Oryza sativa Japonica Group: one gene and its partner. The protein of the gene in region 1 binds, or shares a complex with, the protein of each later gene. Links are inferred from orthologs where the notes say so. Each region holds a gene or a part of one and is shown on either strand. Other genes may lie near its edges. The genes, in order: AUGMIN subunit 4 and AUGMIN subunit 7.

Evidence for each region.
Region 2: AUGMIN subunit 4 (region 1) and AUGMIN subunit 7 share a complex: the UniProt entries of both Arabidopsis thaliana proteins name them as parts of the augmin complex. The link is inferred for Oryza sativa Japonica Group from reciprocal best matches to the Arabidopsis thaliana genes AUG4 and AUG7.

What each region holds. Positions count from the first base shown.
Region 1 is NC_089036.1:1,015,831-1,020,256, reverse strand, and holds the start of AUGMIN subunit 4, read left to right. Parts: upstream 1-1,515; 5' UTR 1,516-1,560; coding exon 1,561-1,698; intron 1,699-1,781; coding exon 1,782-1,829; intron 1,830-1,916; coding exon 1,917-2,015; intron 2,016-2,176; coding exon 2,177-2,530; intron 2,531-2,767; coding exon 2,768-2,867; intron 2,868-3,020; coding exon 3,021-3,066; intron 3,067-3,338; coding exon 3,339-3,432; intron 3,433-3,548; coding exon 3,549-3,620; intron 3,621-3,724; coding exon 3,725-3,783; intron 3,784-3,939; coding exon 3,940-4,008; intron 4,009-4,149; coding exon 4,150-4,201; intron 4,202-4,426. UniProt on the Arabidopsis thaliana protein: Involved in microtubules reorganization during spindle and phragmoplast development.
Region 2 is NC_089035.1:38,315,159-38,319,519, reverse strand, and holds AUGMIN subunit 7, read left to right. Parts: upstream 1-1,481; 5' UTR 1,482-1,623; coding exon 1,624-1,757; intron 1,758-1,906; coding exon 1,907-1,992; intron 1,993-2,083; coding exon 2,084-2,145; intron 2,146-2,295; coding exon 2,296-2,387; intron 2,388-2,680; coding exon 2,681-2,806; intron 2,807-2,931; coding exon 2,932-3,022; intron 3,023-3,108; coding exon 3,109-3,216; intron 3,217-3,380; coding exon 3,381-3,479; intron 3,480-3,870; coding exon 3,871-4,068; 3' UTR 4,069-4,343; downstream 4,344-4,361. Other genes in the region: uncharacterized protein, read right to left, coding at 305-668. UniProt on the Arabidopsis thaliana protein: Contributes to the assembly of the acentrosomal spindle and phragmoplast microtubule arrays as part of the augmin complex. Regulates the association of gamma-tubulin with the spindle and phragmoplast microtubules.

The DNA of each region.
Region 1 (4,426 bases):
ATGACCCGACAAGGTGCATATATTTCCTTTTGCTTTGATTTATCCTGAAATAAAATCAGTACTCCTACTCCTAATCAAAAGTGGTTAGTACAGTAAAGAATTGTACTCCTACAGAGGTTATGCGAAAGCGATGAGCATAATAATTCAATTCAAGTCGCATTCACGATGATTTCATGATGCTCCTCTCCAGTAAGGCTATCATCATAAATCTTGTCGCATTCCTTTGAAATTTGGTTTCTAGTGCTTCTCTTTTCGGGATAAAAATACTTTCGAAAAAAAACACGCTAATTATACGCATAATAAAAGGTCCCCAAGGACAAATCTTGTTATACAATACAATATTTGCAAGTTATTCAATATTGTGTTTTATTTTCTATCTTTTTTTTCCTTTCCTCATATGGTATGGCTGCTTTGGCGCACCATTTTCTGTCATAAAAGTCTGGTTACTGTAGTTGAAGACGACTACGACACCATAATCTCGAGAAAAAGACATCATGGCAGATCGTAATCGTATCATGCAAGCCTGAACATGAAAACAACAAACTTGAAGGTCGTCCATCTACCTGACCACATGTGTATGGGGATATGGGCTGGTATTTTGATCTAATCAAATTATTAAGCTCATGCACGTTGATGTGCCACAATTTTACCTTTTTTTTAAAGCATAGATTAAGATTTAAGAAAAAAAACTATAATACCCTTAACTAAATATTGTATGGTTGGATGTAGGAGGTTGGTTAGGGGCAAGAAAAAAGATAAATTTGAATTAGAAACGATTGATGGAACAAATAGTATTTTATTATGATAACCATTTTGAGACAAAGTTTAAATCTTAAAGAGACAAGTAATTTGTGACGGAGGGAGTAAGTTGTTTAATTTATACCGTTTCAGTTCTAATCATATCATTGTGTTGCTTATGTTCTTCTTCCAGGACGAGCAAACACCCGTTCTTCTTTTCTATAATCCTTCTCCAACACCAATCACAAAGAGATATCATCTATTTTAAATTTTTATGCAAACATTTGAGGGTATGCTCGAGCATAACGAAACCTAGCCATTAAATCTGTTTCTAAAATATAGTACTAGGATTTACCATCTCATTTTAAAATCGAAGTACACATTGTTTGATTTACGGCTCATAAGCCATGGAAAAAAGAACTAAGCATAAAAATAATAATGTTCACAGGTTTTTTTTAAGTCAACTTAAAATGAACCACGATGAAAAACCCCTAAAAATCAACTCTCAATTCTAATTTTCTTAAAAATTTTAAAATTTGGCCTCGGCAAATAAAAATAACAAACAGCGTATGAAATGAAAGACCGGAGAGATGACGAATTTGATGAAGGAGATTATAGTGGACATCCATAATTTCAGAAGATTATAGAGGCATTTTTGTTTCCGTGTCTCTGATAGCCGAATGAATCAGCCGTAATCTCATCCGTCATCCCACGATCCAACGGCTGGTAGCCCCCCCAAATCCGGCTACACAAACGAAACCCCACATTCCCCGACACGATTCAAACCACCACCAACGAACCTCTTATTCGCCGGCGACGACGATGTCCAAGGCCGCCGCCGCCGCGTCGCTCCCTCCGCCGCCGCCGGAGGTGGCGCACCTGGTGGATCAGCTCCAGCGCCACCACCTCGCCCCCGACGCCTCCCTCCTCTCCAGCTGCGCCCACTCCGACCTCCTCCAGGTACGCTATCTCACCTCCGCGAACTCGATGTCCTACCTCCGCGATCTCACCCGCTGCTGTCTCTGTGCTTTCCTTCGCCGCAGGCGCGGGAGGAGGTCGCGTCGGAGCGCGCGCGATACCTGGAGGCACTGGTGAGTGCGCCCGTCCCTTCTCGTGGGATCTGGGATTTTAGGGTTTCCCGTTGGGGTTCTGATCAGATCTGGGGGTAATGTGGTTAGGCTGTGTACGCGGAGGCCATTGCTATGGTGGAGGAGTATCAGCACGCCATCTCCACTGGCGTCGCCAACGCTGGGAAGAAGCTCAACTGCTCCCCGCAGGTTCCACTTCTCTCCCGCATTTTTAAATTTTTGCGTCTTTCAGTGAATGGTGGACATAAAGCTGCAAATGTGAATTCAACTGGTTGATTGCAGATGAAACTTTTGCTGCTAAATTGAGAAATTATCTGACTGAAAATGGAGCATTGTATGGACTGATGTAGGTGTACGAGTCATTGGAGCACCATTTGGCGGTTGCAGAGGCTGCGCAGAGGTTAAGGCTTCCACTGCTCTCGCAGGATGGAGATGTACATGAGGAGGAGATAGAGAAGCTGAGCACCTTGTCTAGGAGCTCATTCGATAGCACCATGACAAGTGCCGCACCTAGCTCGAGTTCAATCTCGACTAGTTACAATAACTACAGCAGCACCGCAAGTGCAGCCACTGTTGCTGCGGCCCCTGGTACTGGTGGTTCGGAGCCAGTTGAGCCTGGTGTTGGCGGTGTTCCTGATCGTTTTCTTGGAATCACATCGGATTATCTCTACCAGGTGCAGCAAGAGCAGCCAGCCATGACCGTGGTATGTATAATCTTTTGCAACCAAATTTATCGTGTGAACCAGTTGTTGGTGGGTTCAAGTTTCATTTTAGTTTTGGATATATTATCGTATGTTTCTTGGGGAATCAGACAATTACTGCTTCACTGCTTCCTATCTTTGTTTACCATTTACTGAAGAGCAATCAGGACATACATTGTTTCTTTTCAAAACCGGGCTGTTTAAACGTTTACAGCATGTACCTCTGATTTCCCGTTGCAGGACATGGTTGACTATCAACGAACTCTGGCAAGAGAGATTGAGGCCCGCTTAGAAGCCAAGTGTGATGCTTTAGCTGATCTGTTTGCAATGGATGAAAGGGGTCAGTTTTTGAATCTTGCTATGACTACCAATTTCACTCCCTGCGTTCCTGTCCATTTTATGCAATGCAACTTGGGCAACTTAGTTTTAGACAACAGTACACATCTTGTATTCAATATTATTGTTTTAGCTTAACATTTCAAATGTGCTGCAGATTCATCATCCATTAGTCAGATTTCAAGTGCCAGACTTCCAGAAAGGTGAAATTTCATATCTTTGCCTGTCTTGCAATGGTTTTACTTATACGGAAATGCTTGATATGCCAAAACTCTCTTAGGTCAAGCATAACATTTTGAGTGAAAAAAAATCTCCTTGTTTGCTTCTGTAATAATTTACTCTGATCACTCACAGTGCATTCTCAGTTCTTGATGGCAATGTCCAATTGTCAACCTTTACTTGTTTGGACTTAAAATATTAATAACAGGGAATTCATGAGACGCATTACTCACAATATGATTTTCCCTTTTGGCAGGGTGAAGTTAATTATTGAAGAGATTGAAAAGGAAGAGGCCCTTCTACTAGACGATCTTGCTTCGATGGATAGAAAATTTGCCGAACACTATAATGTACGTGTGTAGATATTAAGTGATTGCTCAAACTCCACATAGCCAGTTAGCTCACTTTATTCTAGTAGAAATTCTGGATTATATCCACTTACTGATGGCTCCTGAAATTTCAAAAGGTCCTGGAGCAAATTCTTGCTGTACTTATACAGTTCGTTAAAGACAAGAAATTGGAACATCAGCATCAATATGTAAGCTTTCTCATATTCCTATTATGATGCTGCTTCTTTGAAAACATGGAGTGTTTTCAGTTTCATATAGTTAATCCTCCTACTTTGTCTTTGTGGGCTAATAGGATGATCTGAAGAAGACTTGGCTTATTAAAAGGTGCCGGACAATGAATGCTAAATTAAGGTTGGTACCTGCATCTACGTCCATCATACATCACCTAATAACGGATCTTAATTTGTACTTTGTTAAACATAGTTAGTCTTCTAATTGAGTTATTTGCTAGTCAGCGATGGGACAAAACAGAGTTAATTAACTATTTCTTTCTTAACATGGTTCTAGCTATCTTGAGCATCATCTCTTGCGTGACACCTATACCAAGGAAACAGTACCGGCACTACATAGGATCAGGTAAAGCCAGTTTAATTGATTTAAAAAAAACTGACATGATATCTTGAGTTAAGTGGTACATCTTCTCAAAACAGATCCAATATGTTGAGTGCTTTTCTTTTCAGGAAAATGCATTTTTTACTTATTTACCGTTTCTTGCAGGAAATATCTAGTAGAGGCCACGAAAGAAGCATCCAATTCTTATACTGAAGCGGTATGATACACCCATCTTACTTTCCCCTTGTAATCTTCAAAATATTTGGTCATTAAATCCTTAATAGCAATGGTTATTACTCATTTACTGAATATCTAGTCCTTAACTCTGTAATGGAAATCTAGTAACTAGAGCTCTGTAGTTATCTATTTCAACTGAATTTCTATAAACAATGTATGCCATCTTTCAGTATCCTCTTTTACCTGAAAAGGAGTCGACTTTCCC
Region 2 (4,361 bases), on another chromosome or scaffold:
AGACAAATTAGTAGATTTTGCATTACCACTTTGGCCCACAGAAGCAGCACTAAAACTAGCACTATACAGTAGGATTACATATTCCATGCTGCTTCCCGTTCCCTAGTACTGAACCAAAGCATCAAGCATCAACATCATCTAGTTTACCTACTGTTTAATCCTCCACGCGCGTCTATGTCCTCAAACTAGCGTAATGTTGGAACAGAGCGTACGATTTCGTGTATCCGATGGATCCTAAGCACGGGAATAGGGAAAGCCACGGAACCAAAAGTGGGGGGTTTGGGGGGTGAGGGAGAGGCCAGACCGGAGGCCGACGTGAGCGAGGAGTGCAGGAGCGAAACGGCGGTGTTGACGAAGAGCGGGTCGCGGGAGACGGCGGCGCGCACGGCGGCGCTGGCGGCCTGGAAGAAGGCAAACCCTGCGGCCACGGGCGCCAGCTCCCGCCGCCCGCGCGCGCCGATCTCGAACCCCACCGACACCGCCCACAGCACCAGCGTCGCCGCGAAGAACGCGCTCGTGTCGCGGCCGCCGCCGCCGCCGCGATGGGGCGGAGGAGGCATGGGGCTCGTCGTCGTCGTGGCGAGCGGAGAACCGCACCGCACGATAGACTCCGTTCCCTCTTCCCCTCCCTCGGCGAGACGCGCGGCCCACGCGGTTGATGCCGGCATCTTTTATTATTGCTGGCCTTATCACTGACATGTGGGCCCCAGCCCAAAGTATATAAATTAAGGCATTTGTACATTTGCTAATGGTTTAAATCCTTGTTGAGAGATTGTTACTAGAAAATTATAAAAATATCCCTAGAATTATCATTCGAGTGACATCGTTATAGGGTTTGTTTATTATGTTGCCACTTTTAACTACACCAAAAGAGTCAAGTTTTGGTTAGACTATAAACCAAACACATACTCTCTTCGTTTCATATTATAAGTCGTTTGACTCTTTTTTAATTAAACTTCTTTTAAGTTTTACTAAGTTTATAGAAAAATATATCAGTATTTTCAACCTAAAACAAACATATTTATCAAAATATATTTAATGTTAGATTTAATGAAATTAATTTGATATTTTAAATGTTACTAAAACTTTTTTTTTAGACTTAGCCAAACTTAACCAAGTTTGAATAAAAAAAATCAAACGACTTATAATATGAAACGGAAGAAATACTTATCAATGCTACCCTACCAAATTTTGGTAATTCGATAAGTTTCTACTCCTAAAAAATTGTTTTACAAATTTTGATAAGTTAACAAACTAAACACAACCAACACTACCAAAATTTGATTTGATAGTGCCAAAATGTGTTAAAATTTGACAATGACAAATTTTAGAAGGGTTGAAAGTGCATACCATCTGAACAGCTCATAAATTTTAAAAAACAGTGGTAAATTTACAAATGCTACAGGTAAGTTCCAGACACCTTCAGAATTTGAAACGACAGTAAGGGAAATATAAAAACAAATTCGATTTTGAGAATTTGCAAATCTTGACACCATCTCGCTCGTTGGGTTGTCTCCGTCGAAGCGAGCGGCTCGATCCCCACCACCACCACCAGCAGCGGCAGCCTCGGCCGGCGCGGCGCGGCGAGGTGGGGAAGCGAGGAAGAGTGGGAGGGCTCTCGCCATGGCGTCGAAGCAGATGGAGGAGATCCAGCGGAAGCTGGCGGTGCTGGCCTACCCGCGGGCCAACGCCCCCGCCCAGTCCCTCCTCTTCGCCGGCGTCGAGCGCTACCGCCTCCTCGAGTGGCTCTTCTTCCGGTACGCGGCCACCCACGCCACATTCCCTATTTCCGCATCTCAATCTGCAAGGCTTGCTGCACAGTTGCGGGTAGATTTGGTCCGCGTTCTTTTTCCCCCTCACAGTCCCAACTCGAAATTGAGGGTTTCGTTTTCTCTTTGTTGCGGAGGCTCCTAGGCGACAGATCGCCGTTCACGCAGCAGAACTGGCAGGGGGATAGCCTCGACCGCGACGAGGAGAACAGCAGGATCCAACGTAAGGTTTTTTAGTTTCAAACATTTCACTACTGCTGTTGTTCTTGGGATCAAAGTGCGGTGCTGACATTGAAATGCTGGGGACTGTGCAGACCTGGCCGAGATTGCGAATTTCCTTGGTATAACGCCTTCGGTTGACACGGAGGCAATTCAGGTGAGAGAAATGGGTGTGCTTGTTTGTGTCATACGGTAACAGTTGTTGAATTTTAGCTGCTGTTATACAGGATCTATGAATTGTGAGAATGGCAGTAATATATTTGGGGTTAAATTGTCTTTGGTGTGCTCATAACTGTTCGAATTGCAGGGTAGAGGTAGCTACGATGAGCGTGTAGAGCTTCTCTGTCTCATTGTTGATCTAGTTGAAGCTAGCTGCTATGCTGACAATCCAGAGTGGAGGTTGGCTTTAAGCTTGACTATTTCTATTTGCAACGAAATAATACCCTTCATGTTATTCATACAGGACATAGTCATAAACATTGTCAGTTTGTGATAATTCAGTACTATTTTTTCATGAAACTTTTGTTCTAGGCTTCTAGCAATGTAAGAAAATAAAAGTATATCTGAAGAAAACATGTAAGAAAATAAAAGTATATCTGAAGAAAACTGAACTTTCATATACATCAAATAATCCATTAGGATCAACATGAGTGCATTGGAGACATAATTCCTAACAAATTGCTTTTTGGTAGTGTTGATGAGCAGCTGGCAAAAGATGTGCTGCTCGTAGATTCAATTGCAGAGAAACAAGCCCAAATATTTTCTGAAGAGTGCAAACTATTTCCTGCAGATGTTCAGATACAATCAATTTACCCCTTGTAAGTACTTCTTATCTGATAATTTTGTTGGTTGTAAGTACTCCCAGTTGAAGAAAAAGAGGAAAAGTAAGATGTTGAAAATCAGCTGTGTATGCTTCAAATCTTGAGTCATTCTCATTTTGCAGGCCTGATATAACAGAACTGGAGTTGAAGCTCTCCGAGTATACTAAAAAGATGTCAAATTTGCAACTGATGGTTCAGGAGTTAGCATCTAAGGTATGCGCTTAACAGCCACATAAACCTTGATAGTCTGTAGCATGTTCTATGCTATTTACACTGATGGTACAATTGCTGTTGCTCAGTATGACTATAATCCGAATGAAGACTATGCCGAGACAGAGTTAAAACTGAGGGAACATTTGCAATCGTTCCTAGAAACAGTAAAATCCTTCAATATGATCTACACTAAGGTGAATATCTTATGCAATGGTTTCTTTTTTCTTCCCAATTTCCCATACTTCTGCTGTACGTTCAGATAAATATTTTTGACATGATATCTTTTTCTGCTAACGGTTGCCATCTTTATGTGTTTTGAGTTTTACTTGTTAGATGATAGAATTGCTTTTCATTGTAGGAAATTCATCCTTGGACACATATGATGGAGGTCCCTCAATTGCATGGTTTTGGTCCAGCTGCTAATCGCTTGTTGGAGGCATATAACACACTTTTGAAGGTACTAGCGGAATATTTGGTTTATTTGACATTTTGTTGCTCATTTCAAGTTTTGCTTCCCTCTATGGTCAATGTGTCATGATCTGGTTATTTGAATTGGTGAAAACAAATATAAAAGGAGCTGATTAGCCGGTGGTCAATGTATGTCTTGTATTGCTATCAGATTATTTCAGAATAACCAAGATGCTAATATGGTATGGTATAATATCTGATAGTTCATTGATAGACCCATCTCTCATTTAAACTAATGAAAAATTCTAGAGTTCTTTTACTTCATATTCTTTTTAACTGATTAGCTCTGTGCGGTCTTCTTGCTTGTGTCTACTGTCTTCTGTCTGGTAAACTGAGCATATAAACATTGCTTGACTTGAGTGCCTATTTGTGATGTGCAGTTCCTTAGTAATTTGAGGAGCCTACGGGATTCGTATGCAGCAATGGCTGCAGGATCGCTTTCAGCATCTAATGAGCCTTCATCTGTCACCAAAATTATCTCCGACTGTGAATCTGCACTTACATTCTTAAATAACAGCCTTTCCATCCTTTCAACTTCTGTGGCACGGGAGCAGGGTGAGACTCTGAATTCACAGTAGCCTGATATCAGGATACTTGAATAACCTTGTAGCAAGTCGATCATTTGCTTTTTGTGGCTTGTAGTATTGCCGTTGTGCCAATTGTCGTTGTGTTCTTGTGTCTGTAGTTCGTAACTGCATAGATGAAAACTTTAACATTAGCTTATATTGAAATATCATGCCGAGAGCTCTCTTTCAAGGCTGTGTACGGCTGCACGTTGCAGCGGCTGCAACGCTGTACAAAATAATGTGCGAGGCGGCCGCAGCCGCAGTAGTGCAGCCGTAACAGGCCCCAAGTTTGTGCAGTACTTGTA